4 linked regions of the Drosophila melanogaster genome follow. The protein of the gene in region 1 purifies or fractionates together with the protein of each later gene. This does not show direct contact. Each region holds a gene or a part of one and is shown in the gene's direction. Other genes may lie near its edges. The genes, in order: crb, Ciao1, Patj and Mbs.

Evidence for each region.
Region 2: the proteins of crb (region 1) and Ciao1 purify together in Drosophila melanogaster (affinity purification with western blotting, with the first as the bait; one study listed by BioGRID). This does not show direct contact.
Region 3: the proteins of crb (region 1) and Patj purify together in Drosophila melanogaster (affinity purification with western blotting; 7 studies listed by BioGRID, with this or other methods). This does not show direct contact.
Region 4: the proteins of crb (region 1) and Mbs purify together in Drosophila melanogaster (affinity purification with western blotting, with the first as the bait; one study listed by BioGRID). This does not show direct contact.

Annotation. Positions count from the first base shown.
Region 1 is NT_033777.3:24,292,609-24,298,560, forward strand, and holds the start of crb (crumbs), read left to right. Parts: upstream 1-2,469; 5' UTR 2,470-3,018; coding exon 3,019-3,256; intron 3,257-5,952. Other genes in the region: Uck (Uridine-cytidine kinase), read left to right, coding at 230-361, 521-636; CG5715 (uncharacterized protein), read right to left, coding at 819-1,313, 1,370-1,762.
Region 2 is NT_033778.4:14,853,363-14,857,725, reverse strand, and holds Ciao1 (Ciao1), read left to right. Parts: upstream 1-2,677; 5' UTR 2,678-2,766; coding exon 2,767-3,774; 3' UTR 3,775-3,863; downstream 3,864-4,363. Other genes in the region: CG33506 (uncharacterized protein), read left to right, coding at 1-213; HPS1 (Hermansky-Pudlak syndrome 1), read right to left, coding at 424-2,214; Ercc1, read right to left, coding at 3,924-4,112, 4,171-4,363. UniProt on the Drosophila melanogaster protein: Essential component of the cytosolic iron-sulfur (Fe/S) protein assembly machinery. Required for the maturation of extramitochondrial Fe/S proteins.
Region 3 is NT_037436.4:1,796,278-1,803,201, forward strand, and holds Patj (patj), read left to right. Parts: upstream 1-2,525; 5' UTR 2,526-2,646; exon of another isoform or gene 2,647-2,676; intron 2,677-2,704; exon of another isoform or gene 2,705-2,732; 5' UTR 2,733-2,871; coding exon 2,872-4,422; intron 4,423-4,482; coding exon 4,483-5,547; 3' UTR 5,548-5,907; downstream 5,908-6,924. Other genes in the region: Cdc37 (cell division cycle 37), read left to right, coding at 1-560, 625-897; CG12020 (uncharacterized protein), read left to right, coding at 1,088-2,072, 2,137-2,252; JTBR, read right to left, coding at 5,958-6,416. UniProt on the Drosophila melanogaster protein: Involved in cell polarity establishment. Probably participates in the assembly, positioning and maintenance of adherens junctions via its interaction with the SAC complex.
Region 4 is NT_037436.4:16,049,708-16,055,374, forward strand, and holds the start of Mbs (myosin binding subunit), read left to right. Parts: upstream 1-2,251; 5' UTR 2,252-2,467; intron 2,468-3,047; exon of another isoform or gene 3,048-3,297; 5' UTR 3,298-3,598; coding exon 3,599-3,853; intron 3,854-5,667.

The DNA of each region.
Region 1 (5,952 bases):
AACCAGAACATGCCGCCCAGCTTAGATGCGTTTAGGTAATAGATCCCACTAACTAGAGCTAGAATAAGTCCTGGGCTTAGACTAGACCGCTTGGATCGGCGGAGCTCGGGAGGAGCAGCGAGGTAAGTGCATTGTTCCACATTGAGTTGCAATGCTTACGATGGTGCAGCATTACGATTTGATATTTCCAAACTGAGTGCGAACTAATTGTCCGCTCTTTTCCTTTCAGTGGCCATCGATTTGATCGTTCAGCATATCCGGGACTTCTTAAACAATCGATCTCGGCACGGATCAACCGGAAACATGGCTCTCTACATGAATCTGGATTTGAATGCGACGGGTGCCGGTTTCGCGGGCCCAGGTAAGGCCACCATCCAAAAGGCGCGTCCCCACTAACCATCCGCTGACTGGAGTGAATGATCCGGATTACTAACCAATCAACCAACCAATGCATGCAATCGGACACTTGCTGTGCTGTATATATAGTATCTTCTGTTATGCTTTGTGTTTCCCTGTGAAGATGGAAGTAACCTCGGCACGTACAACGCCATCCGAAGATTCTCGACGATCTGCAAGGAGCTCAACATGCAGGGCAACTATTTCTTTGAGACAAATAAGAACCTGCCGTACCACTAGGATGGGATGGCGTGAGAGTTCCCGGAGCAGTACAAGACACGACGCACATAGGCGATTGTTAATTATCTAACCAAATATTGTACCCATAGACATATTTTTTCAGTAAACACAATTGATTGTTGATGATAAATATTTATGTTTGTCAAAATACTGTTACCGAATGCTTCGACTGCAGTTGTCATCTACACCTTGCACTTGTACATTGCGTTGATCTTGCGCACATCTCCGGCTGAGAAGCCCTTGCGTTGACCCATCTGGCTGGCATCGGATGTGGCACGCAGTGCCTTCAACGTGGGCTGGCCATTCCGAGTGAAACTGGTGGGGGAGTAGTGCATCACACTGCCATAGTCGTATTCCACGCCGAAGCCGTACTGTGTCCTGGAACTGGACTTCTCGAAGTTGACCATCATCTCGGGCTTGATGTTGTCCTTCATCACGCGCACATAGGAGTCACGTTCGTGACGATTCTGCTCATGGAAGAAGCCCAGGGCGTGCATCAGCTCGTGAATGGGAGTGCCGTATGTACGCAAGCAGTTGGGCGACTGCAGATTCACTTCCTGGCGACCACCTAAGCGCCCAATGCTACTCCAGCAGCCAGACTTTCCGCTACCAATGGAGATGTAATCCTTTTCGGTGGTCCTGGGCTTGAAGCGCACGCATGTTTTGGTGTGGTATTCCTAAGATACAAAATCTTATTTGTAAATTGTAATAGGGACTATTACTGAAACCTCACCTTAAAAGCGTGGTTAATATTCCCCAATTCCTGGCTGGTAAAAGGACCTTTGATCTCGTAGGGCACAACGCCGCCCGGCCAGCGGGAACTCAGCGCCAAAATGCCATTACGAGTGCCATTGAATCGGGCGTCCCTGTAGCTCAGTGGAATCAGGATGTCACCTTCGTGGTAGGTTCCCAGCTCCTCGGGATTCAGCGGGGATTCCACACCGAGTGCCTCAACCAAAGCTCCAGTCGTCTCCACGTCCGGATTACCGAACAGAGTATCTCCAAGATCTGTCAAGTCAATCATTTCCTGGGAGTCCATATCCTCCAGGGGCATGGAATCTCCCAGAGAAATGCCCAGTATAATCAGTAGCAAAAGCGAACCAGTATTATTTTGCGATTTGCCCATTTTGCTAATTCCCCAACTGCTGTGATTTCTAACCAGGCTTACCCACATTATATAGTCCCACCTAGACCTCCAAAAATTGACGACATGTTGTCGGTGCTGCCTGTTTATGCTGAGTTCTCTTTGAAACGATAAGTCGGCGCTTTGTGGCCGTTTACATTTACATTAAGTACGTAGTTGCTATCCGCCGGCTTCTTGATTTATGGGGAATTTACTTTTATGCATTCCGACTTGAAAATATGTGCAGTGCGGAATTTTCGCAAGTTAAGATTTGCGGTATTATAAAAGGTTTATTCTATTTGGATTATGATGATGTAGGTCACAACTTACAAAACCCATAACTGCCGTTGGTAATTTAAGTGAAGTTTACGTTTTCATGTTCCCGCCATAAATTAAACTTTACTATGCTCGTGTATTTTGGAATGTCACCTAGACATACACACGATATTAATTGATATATTGAATAGTTATATCAGTAAAGTTTTATGAAAATGTAATTAACGGTTTAATTCTTGTGCGAAATCAATTCAAGAACAAAATATTTTTTTTGTACATATTGTACCACTGTGCAACTTGAATATCAGTGTGGCCATGCATGTTGACTCTATATCAAAATCCAGCCAAACCTAGCCAAGCGGACTGGTCACACTGCACCATATATAAGCCCACGAAACGGATATCGCCGATTCAAACGGTCGAACATTTTTCTTGCTGCTCGTACGTACGTTTTATTGGTTGCTCGCGCTCGTAACGTTTTTTTCGCCCCGTTTTGGCCAATGTGTGTGCGCGCGCGTGTGTGTGTGCTGCTTGCAGTTCAAAAGGGCAGCGACAACAACAAGAACAGCGCACCTCTCTTTTAAGCCAAGTCTTCGGCGCTCGTATGTGTGTGTGTGTGTTGGTGTGATTCAGAATCGTGGCCTGGGAAGAAATGGCAAATTAGTTGGCTCAAAGTGGAATCTCTGTGCTCAATATTCAAATTCAGGCTAGAAAGTGTCGCGTGCGAAAGTTTGCAAATAATACAACTAGCAGAAAAAGAGGAATATAACTTAAAAAAAATAAAAATAACCTGTTCTAAGCCAAGTGCCGATTGCGCGCGTGTGTGTGTGTGCGTATGAGTGTTTGCGTGGAGCAGAGAGAAGGGAGAATGCAATTACCAACAACAACAAGCTCAATGAGTATCGTTTGAATAGCAATAATATCTAGCCAAAAGCAACCCTTTCCAATACGAAAACTCGACTTGAGCCAACAAATCAGCGATCATGGCTAAAATCGCCAATGCGTCACTGTCGCAACAACAAAAACAGCGGCAAGCAGAAACAGCAACGACCACAACAACAACAGTGGCGGCATCAGTAGAAACAGCAACAACAACAGCAAGAAGTCGAGACCGCACGAAAAGCGCAGCTCAAATTACGTCGCATTTGCTCAAGCGCGCCATTTCAGTTTATTCGTCGCCTCAATGGATACCGCTCTTCATACTTATTTACTTAGCAACAGGTGAGAGAGAACCCTGAGAGGGAGCTAGCGAGTGAGTGAGAGGGAGGGCGATAGGCAGTCGAGGACATTCAGGAGGAGAGAGCGAAGATGGGGACATGAGAGAGCAACACGGTGTTTACGCGGTTCTTAAGCTACAGTGATCACTCCACAGCACTGAACTTGCCCGTTATAAATTATTAAAATGTATATTAGATGCCCATTTTAAATGGAATTTGTAATGTTGTTATTGTGTTTAAGCCTTTGGCTGCTCATATGATTAATGAGTTAATGAGATTGAGTTACGGAAGTCACACTGTAAATAATTTATATGATGAGCCACATGCATTCTTTAGCTTAAACATTTGCTGATGTTTCAAAAGCTCGTAATCGAAAAAAAAGAGCAACAGGTCATGTGTGTGTGTGGTGGGGCATTCGTGTGTTTTGGGGATGTTGACCAAGTCATGTTGGGTAAAAGGAATTTGGATTTTCAATGATTTCGGGCCTACGAAAAACTCGTTCAACGGGTTTTCCTTCAAGAAGTGACTCATGGAGCTGGCTTACCTGAAGTTTGATTGTGTTAATTATACACTCATTTCTAATTTTTGATGATTGTGTGCTCGGTCTTATCTTGCAAACAAAAGGAATGCTTAGAAATGTATTAGCTTCGATTGCGTATAAATTTATATTTAGTAGAGTACAACTTTAGTCGCTGAGAGAGATAATTAATCAAATTATAGCTTCAAAGGCGGTTAATGTTAGCAATCTTGGCCAAGAAGAATTAATTACTGAAACCAGAAGAGATATTTTAACGTGACCCGCATTTTTTACACACTGTAGCTTACAAATGGATATCATATTTTTAGGTAAATAACAGGGAATCGTAACAAATTATTGTTTCTGCATTTGTTGATACTGGTGCGATTTTTTGGTAATAAAACCTCATTTGTCTGCATTTTCAAAGCGCTTTTAGCGATATCACAACAGTGAAATCTGTGAAACTTATCGCATAACGATCATAATAATTGATTCACAACTCTTGCTGACTCATTATGTGTAATTTTCTGTTACATGTTGTCCGCGGCTCAATTGTTTGGCTGGCTTAGCATTGTCTGCCCCCTTTTTCCAACGGATTGTGCAAAAACGACCTCAAAAATTGGGTCTATTTATTTACAATTCGAGTACCAACCCTCCAAACGGCCAGCCATCCGGCTGTTGTTACGCGCAATCTTATCTTTTGGCCGGAAAGTGAAGTACAACAGTTGCAAAAGCGCGGCCAACTCAACGTCAGCAATACCGCAATTCCGTTGATAGGTTGATAAGAAGAACACTCAGGAGAAGGGAGCACAGATAGAGAAAGAGTTTTCCAACTCGAAGTAGGGAAAGCCCTGGAGTGCAGCGAAAACATAGTAAACCAGTTTATCAGCTCTTGAAGCTAATAGTAAACAAATTTTCAGCTTAATAATTAAAAAAAATCCAAACGAGTGAAAAGCCCTAATAAAGAGCTATAATTCATTCATTTCCATGAACACATTTTCTTTTAATTGTAAAGAACCAACCTCTCTATAGGCCCTGTATTTTCGTATACCTTTTATCGTAGAATTTATCAAATGACTTTGGTTTATGATTGACAAGGAAAACCGACGAATAAAAAGAAGAGAAAATGAATGTCTGGGCTGGGAAATCCCTGAAAGGCATCACAGCAACTGGTTTATGGCAGCTTCCATCGTAAAATCCAGACACCGACAGCGAAGATCATCAGCGTCATCTTCACTTCGAGAGTGGTTTCTGTACGGCTTTCGTTTGAATTTCCGCCCTAAACAGATATAATCCATCATTTTCAGGGGAAAAATCGCGGCACAGGTATACTAGGCACGCTGGAAAAGTGGAGGGAAAACACAAATGAACCGAAACTACCTGCATTGCGTTAACGATAACAACACGTGACCCCGCGAGTTTATGGAAATTCTCTGGCACGTACATAAATGAAAATCGAGAATGGAATGGAAATTGTACGCTGGACACACCCGCGTTCTCCGCTCTCCGGTGTCCGGTGTTTCAACCTGGTCAAGTGTTAAAGTGCAATCGGCCGTGACGCGGGTCGTGGGCCATGTTCCGTGGGCCTACGCAGCCGGCCGCGACCATTGCCTGACGTTGGCCATTAGTGCAAGTCGTTAGCCAGGTCTATAAAAATAGCCAGAGTATAACTGAAAAAGAACTGATTTGCCCCAGTCCTTTAAAGGTTAGGGCGTACTTTACTACCCAGTACTTAGTGGGGAGTGGGGAATTGTGGCGGAAGTGGAATTGAATGCAATACTGAGAATGCAGGGCGCACATTTCAGGACCAATTTTGGTTATAGCCGAAATAATTGGGATGTGGACTCTTGGTATGATTTTGGACTAAGCATAGAAAGTTGTAATTAGGTAACTTTAAGTCGAGACAACTGCTTAGTTCTGTCTAGTTTCTCCTTGCAATGTTCCACGTTTTCTGCGACTGCATCGATTAGCCAGCCACCTTGGGAAATTACCGATGCACAAAAACCACAAATGTGAGAAACAATATGACATAGTGGGGAAAATATTATACTAAACTGAAAAGACAGTGGCAGCTTTCGCTTTTACACGATATTAATTCCAAAAATTTATTCGATGCAAACAAATGTTTAAAAGTTGTGGGCGTTGTTCAATGCTGTCCGTTGGATTGTCTTTATCGCGGTGAT
Region 2 (4,363 bases), on another chromosome or scaffold:
CCCCAACTTGTGGCAGCTGGAGCTAGCTTTTACGACAAACATCTAAAGAAGAACATCGCGCTGAGGGAGCTGATTGGAAATGACGTTTACACTGCACTGGGCAACGAAAACTATATGATTCGGCAAAAGTCCATGCCGCTAACAGCACGAAAATCTTTCTTCCTGGAGAAGCTGGAGGAACTCAAAAAGGCGCAACAGCCTGAAACAGAGTAAACACACATTTATTGTTACATTTTTATTGCCGGTTGAAGAAAATATATATGTTTCCAATAACTTTACAAATATCCTTGTTGTGTAGCCTATAACAGTGGATGATAGTTGTCCTAAACCTAACAAAATTTCGAGTGGATTATCTCGCCTAGGAGTCTCGAAAATTGACTAGAAATCATGTTATAAATCTGGAATGACCAATGGCCAATGCACTTAAAACGCTTCCTCGCCCACAACATCACTGATGGTGGCCACCAGGCGACGTGCATGCTCCACGGCGCATGTGGCGGTTACCAGTCCCAGATGAATGCAATACAACTCGTAGACGCGCACTTTGGCCGGTGACAGCTTGGGGAAGCACAACTCCGCCAGATCGTGGTAATAGTCCATTGTAAGAGCACCTGGTTCTGTTGGGGATTTCGAACCGTTGCCACTGGCTGCTCCTGTGGACAGAAAGTGGTGCTGCAAATCCACGACGGTACTAAGAACGCCACCAGACATGTCCTCGAACCAGAGGAAGTACGAGTAATGGAATGCCTTATCCTTCCACATCACTGTGGTCTGGCCCTTCTTAAGGTAATTTCTCGCGATCTCCACCATGCTCCAGAGTTTTGTCTTTGGCACCAGCTGGTTCGGTCGCAGATCCGGAGCAAGCATTTGTCCTCGGCTGCGATTGACGTACATAAAGTGCACCAGACCCGGAAAATCCTCCAAATAAGCATCAATGGATATGTTACGAGTGGCCTTAACGGCCAGAAATTCAGCGAACTCCAGTAGCTTGGCTTCCACATTCGCTGCCGTATCAGAGAGTTGATCCAGCTCATGGACACTTGAGCTGTCGCAGCAGGCCAGTGTGAATATCTGCTTCAGTTCCTCTCCGAACGAGGGCAAATTCGACTCAATCCTCACGAGCAGCTCCCGCTCAAAGTTCTTGAAGTACTCAGTGTACATCTTGCGAAGATTCTCCCATTTAGCGGCGAACTTCTTCGTGCAGTTCTCTAGGTCATCGGTTTCCGATCGCTGTTTCAGATATCGCTTCAAAGCGGTCAAGGCCTGCACAATAAACGATTCGAGGTTCTCGAAGGCGGGCTTCAGGGCATCCGAATCGCCCTGATGCTGAACAGCCACGATTTTTTGAAGCACAAAGAAGGAATCGTAGATGCAGCTGGTCAGTGGCATGTGGGCGTACTCGATGACCTGCAGGAGAACTTGGTTACCATGGAGACGCGAGATGTGCACGATACTGGGAACGCAGCCAGAGTTCACATCATAGGAGACACCCTGCAGGAATACAGCTACTGCTCGCTGGGAAGGGGACTTTGGCGCTTGCAGGGCGCGTGACATGAGGCTGAGGAAGAGTAGGTCGGCGGCAGCAAGCGGCAGAGCTTGCCGAGTGCTGTTCGCGGCCACCAGCTTGTTGGAAACGAGCAACAGGGCGTGGGCTCGGGGCAGTCCGAGCTGGCGCAAGTGCTCAAGCGTGGCGTCCAGCGTCAGATGCACTGTCCTCTTTAGTTCCGTGTTGATCAGCAGCCTGGGCATGGCCTCCAGCAGGTACGTCTGATCCTCCTCCCACAACAAAGTCTCATAGCAGTCGAGGCACTGCGTCAGCAACTCCTGTTGCATGGCCCCCGCCTGGGCGGCAAACAAATTGGCGCCGTAACAATAGCGCGTCAGCGTAATGGCCACACCCATTTGGCGACCCAGCAGCTCCACGGGTATTTGTCCGATCTTCAGAAAGGTGAAGCCAAGAAGTTCGCCGAACACCAAATTGAAGCCTTGCTCACACTGCAGGCTGGAGTAGGCATTATCGAACTGGCACTGCATTATTCGCTGAGATCCAACGATGGGGCTGAAAATCTGCAGCAGTATGTTGCTGTCCAGGGAGCCGCCGGACTGGAGCAGGCCCTGGGTGGTGGCCACACTCCGGATCTTCTGCGCCAGCGGCTCGTTAAGCTTCTGGTATACAACATCGTTGGCGCTGTTAAACACAATCAGTCCGTTCATTTTCTTATCAGCATTGGCAAAACACCAAATACACAACAAAACTTTCACCAGTGTCACTGGTGCTGGGTAACGGAATTCGGTGTGTGTTCTGATAAGAAAAGGTGAAGACTTCAAGTCAGCATTTAACAACACTAGAGCGATTCAGCTCTGAGCAATTCAACGCTTTTCAAGCCAGAATTATATATTAAAAGCCTAGTATACGTTCGACTTTTTTTATCCGAATTGCCAATTGAAATTGCTTTTAGTTGAGTTACTAAGTATTGAACTGTAATAAGTTTCCTGATCAAATTAATTTATAATTTATAATATATGAATTTTCAAATTTATTGCATTTTTTTATTATTGCAAAGCAATATCGCTTTGCTTAGATATGAAGAACACAATTTTAAAATTTAATTTTATCCCGATTTACAAATTAAGCTAGATGAACGACTTCTGCCGACGTTTGACCACACTGACGACAGCTGACTTTCTTCTTCTTGCGACATGCGCTTATGTTATCATTATTTGGACAGACAGTGATTTGTCCACTAATACAGCACTTGACCATCAATGGGACGTTTAATTCTGGAACACACGCTGCAGGGCCACAAGGGGCGCATCTGGGGAGTGGCATGGCATCCTAAGGGCAACGTATTCGCCTCGTGCGGCGAGGACAAAGCCATCCGCATTTGGTCGCTGACCGGGAACACTTGGAGCACAAAGACCATCCTATCCGATGGCCACAAGCGCACTATTCGCGAGATCCGATGGTCTCCATGCGGTCAGTACTTGGCCTCGGCCAGCTTTGATGCCACCACGGCGATCTGGTCGAAATCCTCGGGAGAATTCGAATGCAACGCAACATTGGAGGGTCACGAAAACGAGGTGAAGAGCGTTAGCTGGTCGCGATCCGGCGGACTACTGGCCACCTGTTCGCGGGACAAGTCCGTGTGGATCTGGGAGGTTGCCGGCGATGATGAGTTCGAGTGCGCCGCCGTTTTGAACCCGCACACACAGGACGTGAAGAGAGTGGTGTGGCATCCAACCAAGGACATTTTGGCCTCCGCCTCGTACGACAATACCATAAAAATGTTCGCAGAGGAGCCCATAGACAACGACTGGGATTGCACAGCCACTCTTACTTCACACACAAGCACGGTTTGGGGCATTGACTTCGATGCTGATGGCGAGCGCCTGGTTTCCTGTAGCGATGACACCACAATAAAGATTTGGAGGGCCTACCATCCCGGAAATACAGCCGGAGTGGCTACGCCCGACCAGCAAACCGTGTGGAAGTGCGTGTGCACAGTGTCCGGGCAGCACTCGCGGGCTATCTACGACGTGTCCTGGTGCAAGCTTACAGGTCTGATAGCGACTGCCTGTGGCGACGACGGCATTCGTATCTTTAAGGAGAGCAGCGACTCCAAGCCAGACGAACCCACGTTCGAGCAGATAACCGCGGAGGAAGGCGCTCACGATCAGGACGTAAACTCGGTGCAGTGGAATCCTGTGGTGGCCGGGCAACTGATATCATGCAGCGATGATGGCACCATTAAAATTTGGAAAGTGACCGAGTAACATAAGGATTATTGTTTGATATATTTAAGTGGGTAATTCTGGAACTTAATTTTTGTACAGTGTCTGCGTAATAAAAAATTAAAGTATTCAAATGATGGATGAAGTGTGTCATACACGATTATGGGATGCATTACACCTAATATGGATTGCTATTTGCTGAGGAACGGTTCCTGCAACGTTTTGTACAGCTTCTTGGCCTTCCGGGGACCCAGTCCCATCACCTGGGAGAGTCGCTCCTCGCTGGCATTGATTATGTTGCCCAGGTTGCCAAAGGTGTGCAGCAAGGCGGCAGCATCAGTCTTGTTCACCGGCTTGATGTTGGTGAGAGCAGCGAGTAGCTATGGACATTGGGATATTGCATTACAGTGGCGATACTGGCAATGTAAACATGCGTACCTTCTGGTGTGGATTAGACTCCACTCGCTCCATGATCAAATCTGGCGGACGCTTCTCGAACTGTTTGTACGTCTCAATGATTTTGCCCGCCTCCTCAGCGTTCCAGGCCAACATCATTGTCAGGTCGGCTAACAGTGATATCCTGGTCAAGCTCTTGAGGGCATTGTTTGGCTCTGGTGTGTCCACCTGGACC
Region 3 (6,924 bases), on another chromosome or scaffold:
TCAGCAAGCCCGGCTTTGAGAAGACCGTAATCAACAAGAAGGCCGGCCGCAAGCCGGATGAGAATCTGTCCGAGGAAGAGCGAGAGCAGCGCATGAAGCAATTCGTCAAGGAGAACGAGAAGCTCTGCCAGCAGTATGGCATGCTGCGCAAGTACGACGATTCGAAGCGGTTTCTGCAGGAGCATCTTCACTTGGTGGGCGAGGAGACGGCCAACTACCTAGTCATTTGGTCCATCAACCTGGAAATGGAGGAGAAGCACGAGCTGATGGCCCACGTGGCGCATCAGTGCATTTGCATGCAGTACATTCTAGAGTTGGCCAAACAGCTGGACGTGGATCCTCGCGCCTGTGTCAGCTCCTTCTTCTCAAAGATCCAGCACTGTCATCCCGAGTACCGCGCGCAGTTCGACAGCGAGATCGAAGGTTTCAAAGGACGTATCCAGAAGCGTGCGCAGGAGAAGATCCAGGAGGCGATAGCCCAGGCCGAAGAGGAGGAGCGCAAGGAGCGCCTCGGACCTGGTGGTCTGGACCCAGCCGATGTCTTTGAATCCCTGCCCGATGTACGTTCTAGTGATTCACTGTATGGGAATTACTTGACTAACTTTTCATGTATTTGCTCCGCAGGAACTAAAGGCCTGTTTCGAGTCCCGCGACGTAGAGCTGCTGCAGAAGACCATTGCGGCCATGCCCGTGGACGTCGCCAAGCTGCACATGAAGCGTTGTGTGGACTCTGGTCTCTGGGTGCCCAATGCCGCTGACTTGGAGGGTGACAAGAAGGAGGAAGATGACTCGGATGACGTCGCCGGTGGCGAGGAGAAGACCGACGATGCCAAATCAGAGAGTGCAGCCAAGGAGGAGCCCATCTACACTGGCGTCAGCACCGAGGACGTTGACTGATCGCCGCCACGTTTCCATCTACACCATAGCTCTAATCTTAATGTATTTGTCCACAAGCATATTTCATCCATAGCCAGATCCTGCGTCAGTTGAGTTATTGTATATAATTTGAATAAATTCTCAGTCACACGTCAAACATTCTGTGAACACTTCTGCCAGTTGTTATACGCTTCGACTCCGAATAGAAACAATGAACCGGCCGGAGCTGGACTACTACGCGGTGCTGGATCAGCCCAGAGGCGCCACCAAGGAGCAGATTACTCTGGCCTACCGCCGCCTGGCCATTCGGCTTTGCCCACATCGCGACAAGAAGGACGAGCAGGACTTTGTGCCGCTGGCCCAGGAGGGTCGTCTCACGCACCTCTCACCCATGGGCGAGCCCAGGCAGTGGGCCTACGTCAACATGGCCTTCGATGTGCTGGGCAACGATCTGTACCGGGCCATATACGATCGCTTTGGCGAGGCGGGTTTGTTCGAGGGCGTCATGCTGCCGAACGGATACTTTCCGCCCTATCAGTACGACGGCGACCACATGAAGGTCTACGAGCGGGTCTTCGGTAGCTACTCGCCGTATGCCAACGTGATCGATGCGATCTCCAATCCACCGAGCTTGTACGCTACGCGCCAGCATGGCATTGGCGTGCGTTCCAAGGACGCCAGTACGGAGAGGATCATCGAGCTGTCGCTGGAGGAAGTACGCACTGGCTGCGTCAAGCTGATGAACGTGTGGCGCCAGGAGATCGTGGACGCCAAGGAGTCGCGGCTGGAGAAGCGCAAGCACACCTTAAAGCTGAACATTGCCCCGGGAACTACGGCCGGAACTCGCTTCTGCTTCAAGGAGGAGGGCGATCGCTATCCGGCCACCATTCCGGGTGATATTATTTTCATTGCCGCCGACAAGCCGCATCCGGACTTTGAGAGGAGAAACCAACACGACCTGGTCTACAGGCAGTCTATTGGCCTGTGCCAGGCCTTCACCGGCTTCACGTTCTTCATTTGCACGCTGGACCGGCGCCAGTTGAAGGTGGTCATTACGGACGTAGTGCAGCCGGGATACACCAAAGTGGTTCCCCTCGAGGGACTCCCCAAGTGCCGCAATTTGGATGCAGTTACGGCCATCAAGGAGGCCAACAAGAAGGTGGAGCAGTTCGGGGATCTCATTATAGAATTTGATTGTGGGTTTTCCTTTTCTGTTGGAGGTTTCAATAGTTTCTGATAGTTTCTCTGTTTCTTCTGCAGATATCTTTCCCAAGTACTTGACTCCACATATGAAGCATATCACTCGCGAATTCTTCCGCGAATTCCGCAAGCTCGAAATAGAATTGGAGGAGGAGGAGGAACGTAACATGGTTTGATGGCAGACACCTTATTGTTTTTCCGTATTTGGAACACAGATATTTGTGCGTACAGAGAAATTAAATTCAAAATTTGCGTTTAAAAGGATAGATGTTGTTGGGTTATTTCGTATAGCCATATTACATACGAGCACATGCAGACTATATTCAAAAATCTTAGATTTAATTAAATTAGCAGATGTAACGGTCGAATTTGAATTGATTTTGAAAAGGTGGCAACTGTTCCGATTATGTCGATTGCTTATCGATGCACAACGCAGCCGCTCGGCAACCCTGTCCATCAGCTGTTTGTGAAAAGAAAATGCATTTGGCATTCCATTTCAGAGATAATTAAAAATCAATTACAGCAGCAGCAGCAGAGCAAGTGGCCACCGAAAAGAGTGCATAGGAGAGGGTAAACAACTCGCTGCATCCAAACGGCACAGTAACTGATCCGAAGCTGTCCCACTTAGAGCCCAAATCGAATTACCCGTTTTGCAGTTTAGGACAAAGTGTGCCAACGCCACAACGCCCCCACCCAGAAGTCCATAGAAACGCCAGCGGAAGTGGGATAGAGACGGGGACCACGCTCCACTGACCGCACCGCGCACCGCTCGCTGACCACGCCCACTGACGCAAGATGCACCTCAGCGCGGATATTTCCAGCGCCCTTCAGCAGATCGAGGCAGTGAAGAAGGGCATCGATGAGTCCGACGACCCCAAGCTGCAAATGCAGACGGCCGAGAGCCTTAGCACCATTCTGGGCATTCTGCAGGATCCCGTTTTCCGCACCATCGTCCACGTGCAGGACTCGTTGTCCGAGCTGAACGCCCAGCTGGCTCAGCATCCGTCCATGTTGCCCAACGACTTCGACATCGATGTGGCCGGCAACCTTGTACTCAGTCTGAATGGTGGCGAGGTGATGTACGACTTTGACGAACAGCGCTCTTCCTCGCACTCCCATTCGGCTCCGGGCAGTCCAGATAAGTCCGGAGGCGTCGGCGAGGAGCCGCGCCCGCAGAGCCAGAACTCCAAAGGAGCCGGAGTGGCGGATCTCTACGCCACGGACTACGCTCAGATCCAGGCCATAGAGCTGGTCAACGACGGCACGGGTCTCGGATTCGGTATTATTGGAGCTCGCAACTCGGGAGTGATTGTAAAAACCATCCTGCCGGGTGGCGTGGCCGATAAGGACGGACGCTTGCGCTCGGGCGACCACATCCTCCAGATTGGAGACGTCAACCTGCACGAAATGGTATCCGAACAGGTGGCTGCCGTGCTGAGACAGTCTGGAACCCACGTCCGCCTAGTGGTTGCCCGTCCCGTTGAGCAGAGCGTGCCTACGCCCCAGTACGCCCTGGAACCGGGCACTGCTGTGGTGCCCACGCGCGTCCTCGTCGATCCTGCCGAGCTGGAGCGGTACCTCATATCTACCGGCTATCCGGAAATCTTTGGCGAGAGCTCCACGGCCTCCACTCCGCAGACCACCACGGAAGACGATCGTTTCGTTTATCGCGGCGAGACATCAATGCTTATTGATCCAAACATCGACCTAGAGGAATTGCTTGCCCTTCCTGAAACGGAGAAGCTTCAGGTGGAGCTGAAGAAGGATGCCAACGGCCTGGGCATCACAATTGCCGGCTATGTGTGTGAGAAAGAAGAGCTGTCTGGCATTTTCGTAAAGAGCGTGTCGCCCGGTTCAGCAGCGGACCTGAGTGGTCGCATCCGGGTCAACGATCGCATCATTGAAGTTGACGGCCAGTCGCTACAAGGCTACTCCAACCACCAGGCCGTAGAGCTGCTTAAGAAGTCTGGTCAGGTGGTGAACCTGCGCTTGGAACGCTACCTGAGGGGCCCCAAATTCGAGCAGCTGCAGCAGGCTATCGCTGCGAATGACAAGCTTCCATCCAGTGCACCTGGAACGCCTTCAAGGGCTCCCATGCCCACGCCCGTGGCCACAACGTCCTCCGCCACAACTACACCATCACGCAGCATCACTCGCGAGTTGGAAGAGGAAGCCTTACCAGCGCCAGAAGCATTCATGACCACTCCGCCGTCGGTCACCACAATGACCACCACCACATTAAGCTCCTTTGGAGCGGGTAAGCAACTAGTAGCAGTAAGGGACTCCCTAGACGGCTCCACGAAGATCATACCCACGGAAGTTGTACCCTTGGCGGATAAAACGGAGGTGAGTATTAGCTAACGGGTAACACAGCAGCAAAACGTATAGCGCATTAACATGTTTTAGGCCAAGAACAGCGGGGTGATCACCCGTCACAAGTACTACACCGATCCGGAACTGTCCGACGACGCCGAAACCGAAATTATTCGCAAATGGCAGAAGATTGTGGGCTCCGATGTGGAGGTGATTGTGGCCCAGATCAAGAAGTTCGCGGTCGGAGGCTTGGGGATTTCCTTGGAGGGAACCGTGGACGTAGAAGGAGGGCGCGAGGTACGACCCCATCACTATATTCGTTCAATCTTACCTGATGGACCCGTTGGCGTGAATGGAGTACTCCGCTCTGGCGATGAATTGCTGGAGGTAAACGGCGAGCGGTTGCTGGGTATGAACCACCTGGAGGTGGTGGCTATACTTAAGGAACTGCCGTTGGATGTGCGCATGGTTTGCGGTCGCAACAGGAACAGCTCGCTTCTCCCATTCTCTGATGACACCCTGAAAAAGCTAAGCAACAACTTTGAGAACCTGCTGCCTGCTACCGATCGTCTGGTGAAGGCCAAATCAGATGGTAGTCTGGCCACCGCGGGCTCCGTGGCCGATGGAGATTCAGTGGCTGCCGCCGCTGCTTCGTTTAGTAAGCTGAAGTCGCGCTCCCTGGAGCCACTAACCGGATTGGCTATGTGGTCGTCCCAACCGCAAATTATCGAGCTGGTCAAGGGCGATCGCGGTCTGGGCTTCTCTATTCTGGATTATCAAGATCCGTTGGATCCCAACGATACGCTGATTGTAATCCGTTCTCTGGTCCCTGGAGGGGTGGCTCAATTGGACGGACGCCTTATACCCGGAGATCGACTTTTGTTTGTGAACTCCATTAACCTGGAGAACGCCTCGCTGGATCAGGCAGTGCAGGCTTTGAAGGGTGCTTCGAAAGGAGTGGTGCGCATTGGTGTGGCCAAACCACTGCCCATGACGGACAACTCACTGAAGGCTTGCAGCAATGCGAGCACCACCAGCGAAGAGACCTTGGACGCCCAGCCATCGCCTCCAGCCTTGCCCACAGTTGCTCCGCCCGCCATGCCGCCTAGTGCCTCCATGGGAGCTGAGCCCGACCTGATTCCCGACTGGCGGAACTAGGGTGTTACGATAACGAAGAATTTCACACATTCCAGGCATTTGAATCTTTAAGCCTGTTTTAAATCAAATCAAACGCGGTTGCTAACTAATGGATTAGTTAATCGATATTTTCTACGAATATGAACAACAGGCAGTAGAATCTGAAACGATGTCAGAAACGATGCCAGAAGTACAGGAGCGATTGTTATTACCGAAGCAAAATGTTATGCATATTATTAACGCCGAATTGTGTTTGTCCCCTGAAAACAAGCATTCCACAAGTATGCAATATATTAAACCCCCTAGTATTAGCAAATGAATTTTAACATGGTATTTCCAGAGTGTATGTACTTAAACTAAATTAAATAATGTACCTTCCGTACGGTCAATGAGTATCACTTGGGGAAGGGAATCGATGATTTGGCGGAGGGCTATTGGACCCGGTTTAGCTGTCGCTCGATTCTCATGTAGTTGCGCCTGGACAGGACTCGATCGCGGGCATAACTGACCAGGTAGCTAAGTAATCCGATTACAAAGCACGAGACCTCAAATTTCAAGAAGTTCATTTGCTCGATGAGCGCCACCCGGTCGCAGCTCCTGGTTACGATCTCGCCGCTCTGGCAGCGCAGCACCTCCTTGTAGTGCGTGTGAATGCAGACGCCCAAGCTCCGGCTGACTATATCGAATTCGGAGCACGGGTGGCACTCCTGCACCATCGTGTACTTCTCATTCCGCCAGCAGGTCGAGTTGTCCTCGATCACGAATTGCGGCTCTCGGCGACGAGGACCATCTGCCGCGTAACGAGATTCCACGAACAGGACGAGTATGGTGACCATCGTTAGGGCTCCTAGTCCAAGGAGCATGTGGTGACGCTGACAGTTCTCGAGCATTGTGAAGGCGGGCAGCTAACTCTTGTATCGGATCAAGTGCTGGAAACAACCTGGAAGAACCTATGCATGCTCAGTAGGTGGATAACTCCAATACATATGGACGGGATTACTCGAAATCCTATTGCTTTGCTTTTCCCCCTATGAAATCAGCTTTACTGTGTGACCAGGCGAGAGTTTTTATTTTTGTTCAGCCGTCTTTGGAACTAGTTCTTGCTTGGCATTTAAGATTATATATTAAAAAAAAATTGAATTTGCACATGCATAGATTTCGTAATTTAGATAAAGCGTTAAATTAAGGGAGAAAATAATATTTTTCGAGGAAATCTTATAAGCCGCGTATTCCGCTCCGATTCGCGGAACTGCAGATGTGTGGCCAGACTTCGGGGAGCTCGAAACTAGTTCGCTGTTTACGAACGACAATAAACGGAGACCAAAACAATTACGGAGGACAAGCACAAAGCGGACTTGAGAAATTTGTGAAAATTTTTATAAATCGCGTGTGTGGGCG
Region 4 (5,667 bases), on another chromosome or scaffold:
AGACTTGCCAGTTGACAGTTGTTTTAAACAAATATCTCACGAATGAATGACGCAAAACAGAATGCAGCGAGGATATATGAATTTCGTTCTAGTAAAATAAGTGAGGTAAGCAACTGATGCTATAGGCAAAACCCCATCAATCATAGGAACCTACGCAGCGCTGTAAATGGAAATGACATTGAGCGGTAATTAGAAATTGGAAAATTCTAGCTAGTAAACGCGTTCCACGAATGGGTGGGTTTTGCAGCATGGGGGTGGTGTTGATTTCATCATGAATGAAATGCGATGCGAATGAGCTCAGCATCGGCGGAGATAAAAGGTACAATCTTAGTTAATATCCAGGCAGAAACATGTGCGACAGACAGATTTCATTCCAACCCATCCCTCAAAATGACAAGCTAGCACAAGAGCGAATAAGATAAGACGGGATCCTGACATATGCCTAAGTATGTATGTACATGTGTATCTCGGCCTCCAGATTGTTTTAGAAATCACTAGAAAACGCCAGAGAGCGGAGAGCGAGATAGGGAGAAAGGGGGAGAGAGAGAGAGTGAGAGAGGGAGGGATAATGGTCGTGTCCCTGTTTATGTGGGGGTAAGGACATGAATGAAAAAAGGCGTGTTGGAGAGAGAAAGGTAGACAGGCGGCGCCTATTTGTATGCAGCATAATTCAAGTATAGTAAAGTAAACCCATTTTGTTTTTTCTATAAACCGCGGGAAGATTGAACACACATATTTATATTTACTTACCAGAGACATTTTAAACAGTGATAACGTATCAGTTTATCATTGGTTTTTTTAATGCCTTTTTTCGGCCACCAAATCGTTAATTGTTTTCGTTCACCTCTTATCGCACCACGATAAGATTATAAAATCACTTAAAATAAGTTTTGCTGTATAAAATGTTTACACAACTGTGCTCACGTCGACTGGTGGGTTTGAATGCCGTGCAACGACTACGCCAAAGCTATGTGCCTATATAGCTCACTTTCCTATAGGTATTTGTTTTGTCGGTTCTGCGTTCTCGTTTTGTTTTGTTTTGCTTGGCTTTCTAGTGAGCGAGAGGGTGCTGGCGGGGGAAAGAGAGAGAACTAGCGGGGCGGAACGGTCGAAATAGTTTTTTGCCGCCCAAGCGATGCGCAATTATTTTTGGGGGTGGGATGTCCGCACTTTCGTTGGCTATTCCAGCTGTGCGTCTCTAAACTGGAATGTTTTTTTTAAAACTTTTTTAAGTTTAATTAATAACTATTTTGCAAGCTATTTATATTTCTGAATATATTAAAATTTCAAAAACAAACAACTGTCAGCACACGAAGTCGTAGTTTTAAATAAATGCTAAATGGGGTCACACTGTTCAAGGTGCTTGGCTCGCTGATGTATCGATACGCGCTAAAAAGATATCGATAAGATGCATCAGTGGGATCAAGTCTACGCTAGGCCGTCAGCAGCGTTTTCAACCAACATTTATCGAATAAAACGGTTTGGAAATCGAAACGGTAGTTCAGGTATAACACATATACAAAATTGAGCCACTTATAGAACAAGGGTCTGTTACCCGGTCCAGTAACACCGCGAAAACTGAGCTTATTTCGATTCATCAGAATTAGAGCCCCTAACATTTTGTCTTGATTTGACAAAAAAATTAGTGGAACAAACAGAAGAACCTTCGGCATACCGAGAACTCCCAGTAAAAACAAAATACTTTGATCAGTTTGGAAATTTATTTTAACATCAATTGTTTGTTGTTTCGGTTTAATAAACTTTCGAGAATTCTTAGTATCAAACCAGGAATAAATACAAACAATTGAGGGAAGCCACAATTAGAGAAGTTGACCAAAAACAGCATTTTTTGAGTTTGAAAGTAAATTGATTCTGTTGTATCCTCTTTTTCCTTTTTGTGTTTTATATAGATAAAATTAGAAACGGTATTAATATATTTAAAAAGTTGTTTGAAAATTGCATTGTATGTGTTTTTGAGGCACATCAAATATATCGATAGATATGGCCGCATCTATTTTTGAACTAAATGTAAAGAATTGGATGCAAAAAGAACGCATTTCTCCCGAATGGAGTAATAAGACGAACAATTACGAATACCCTAAAATAATATTGATAGTTTAATTAACATCGTTAAAAATATCGGTCCATAACAGCACTGCTAAGTGTTAACATAACTAAGACGCCATCTACAATTTTGTGAGCGGCGTTAGTGTGACCAGGCGAAAAGAGTGCTAAATATACCGCGCATTGCCCTCCGATTCACATCGTCAAAAAATTTTGGTCTGTGAACTTCGTGCGGATGAAATTCGATTTGAACGCCACCGAAAATATGCAAAATAAAGTGAAATACCAGTGCCTCGCGGACGAGGAGCGCTTCAGCGGAGAGTCCTGCAGCCATTAAAGCCCAGAGAGCACTGAAAGTTCTGGGAATTTCGCGGGAAAGGTGCGTTTTTCGCTTGGTCTTTCGGTGTGTGTGAAAAGTTTCTACTGCAATCCATTTTTCTCTACGTGCGTGTGCGGCATACGTGTGTATGTGTTGCGTCTGTGTGCGAGGCGAGTGAATGTGTGTGTGAGTGTGGAGTGGAATGTAAAATGTGGGGCGATGTAAAAATGCCTTTACATAAGTGCACTCGCATTTGCAAGGATTTTGTGCAATACCGCCATCCTGCCAAATTACATAAAATCATCGCATTTCAGTGCGTGAAAAAATACGCGGTTTCCATTTTTGTTCTATTTACTCGCGACGTCAGCGTCGCGGCTGTTGAATTTATGTCAAATTGGTAACACACACACATGCAGGCTCAGCCATTCGCGCTCTCCGTATGCAAGCCCTAACTGCATGAGTGTGTGTGAGCGGCAGAGAGAGAGAGAGAGCGCGAAAGGGAGAATGATAAACAAAGTGTAAAAAAAACAAGCGGCTGCTAAAATGCCCGCAAGTGTTTTTAATTGATATGAAAATGTGTTTGCTTAACACTATGTAGCCCAGCAGCTGGTGGCTCTAAATAAAGCATTTGCAAAATATTAATTTCTCCTATCGTATTTCTTAGTTTTTGCCCCATCCTCTTGTGTAATTTCCATTGAATGCAACAACAAAGGTGCGCGTTAAACAACAACAAATAGCATTGTTTTGCGGGAGAGCGAGTGTGAGAGAGAGAGAGCGTTCCTGATTGCGACATTGTGTGAGTGAGCGGAGAAGAAAACGCCAAGAAGTTGGCTGATAAAGCAAACGCACACGCACGCACGCACGCGCACACACACGCAAAGAAAATAGAAAAATCGTAAAATAATAATAATCAGCAAGCAGGAAAAGAAGAAGCAGCAGCAGCAGCAGTACAAACAGCAAAAGTGTAGTCGTGATCGAAAATCGAAAGTGTGAAGCATTTTCTATAAATAGTGCAAAATCAAAACCCAATTCCCATTGCAAACAAAAGCGCAATAAAGCAATTACGATAGAGCAATAGCGATACAACAGCGCTACATACAAAATCTACACACATCTGGAGCAGTCGAGCGATCTCACAGAGCGCGTGCTCTGCAGCAAGTAGCAGGATTATCTGAAGGAGCAGATCGTTCGTCTGGCCAAGAAGGATCTGCCAAGATGTCCTCGCTGGACGCACGCAACAACTCGGCGATGATGAAGCGCGCCGAGCAGCTGAAGCGCTGGGAGGAGTCGGACACAAACCGCGCCGCCCCCACCCCCCGGCACGAGCACGGCCGCAGGATCAAGTTCAGCTCCGGCTGTGTCTTCCTCGCCGCCTGCCTTTCCGGCGACAAGGACGAGGTCGTCCAGCTGCTCGACCAGGGCGCCGACATCAACACCGCCAACGTCGATGGACTCACCGCCCTGCACCAGGTAAGTCTGCCAGTAATCATCATTCTTTCACACTTAGGAATAGTCCTTATTGGGTGGTAGAAAATGTAACGTTTGAATGGTTATACTTTGCTCAACTAGTCAATTTGTAAATAAATTTAAATTAAAGAACATACAATAAAATAAAATATATTTTAAAGCTATCTTTAAAGATATAGTACACAGATAGAAAACATAAAACATTCGCTAGAAGAAAAGAAAAAGACAACAGTCTTTTAGTAGGTATTGATAATTCCCACTTAAGTAATCGTTTGCAAACAGACATTATTTTCTTGTTTGGGTAGAAGTGGCGAGTATTAGCAATTCTATCAAGGGTTGCATTTGCAGCAGGTGCAATTTCCAGTTAATTAAATGTGAATATTCACACTGCATCCCCTATCACCAGGGATTGATTTCCCACTTTAGAAGGCGGCTAGGCGTTGCGTCAGTCTGCTGCAACTGCGATCACGCGACTGGGCGAGGGGGTGGTGGGTGAATTGGGGGCGGGGTTGGGGTGGAACGGGCGCAGGGAGCTGCAGTTTCGACACTGTTGCGTTGCGTCCAACTGTGGTGCTGACGTGAATCGCACTGTGGGTCGAATTCCATGGGGTCATGGGATCAAATTATTAAAATGCTACAAGAATATCTAGCAGCAAACGAAAAGTATTACCTTATTGTTTCGTAAGGATTAACCATTTAATTTTTATGTATACTTCATTTAACTTAAGAGCGTTTAAAGTAAAACAACAAATTAAAATATAAAGAACAAATTACTAAATTGATTAATTTTACAAGATTTTCCATCGAAGAAGATAAAGAACACAGCATTATGACACATTGACGTTATTATTTAGGAATTTTTATAGGATATTCAATCAAGGTCAAGAATGATCCATCCTGTTTAGACCCACTGTGCAGCGCCGTTCGCTAGACGCTCGACCATTATTGTTGTTGGGTATTTCGTGCTCTTTCGCCGCCGCAACAATAATTCGAATTTCGAATATTAACAAATACAGCAAATACATGGCTAATGCAAGCCGACGATTTACAAGTCGAATGGCCAGAACGGCATAGCCAACAACAACAGCCACAAGCAAAAGGCAAACGGCCAAAAGCATTAAATAAGAAAAATACAAAATGTTCTATTTTTAAACACCCAAGAAAAACATACAAAACCCATACACACGAAAGCGCGTTTACATATTGAAAGCCCAAAGATTTTCGCAAAATCATTTTCAGTTTTCCTCCAATTTGCTTGACTCGATTTTGTGGCATGTCGAAGAATAGGAATTTAATGATACTTTGCCGGCACGAAAATGAAATAAAAAGCTTAAATTTTCCGTACCTATCATGGAAATTCGTTCTATTGTTATGCACATGATAATATTGTAGATTAAGACAAGGACTATTTAATTAATACAAAATAATAGGAAGAACAAATAAAGATTTGCGATTTGCGGTTTATCATTTGATAACTATTTAATGGAGAGTTTATTTAACCTTTAAAAAATAGTTAAAATAGTATCAAGAATACAGAAATATTTTGTGGTACTGTTTTAAAGTTATTTATTAGAATTAATTAATTCCCATGGAATTAATATACAAATTTCTTAGTCCACTCCCATCTTGCGCTCACTGTACTCTCAAATTTAATTTGGCATTAGCTATAATAGAACAACAAATTAAATCTGTTTCATCAACAAACCACAGTGTAATTTTGAAAATCAAATATAGAAAAGGCCAAAATGGTTTCCCCAAACAAATTCCCGAGTCAATTTGCAAGAGTGCCGCCTGTCCACACCCATCTTGCGCTCACT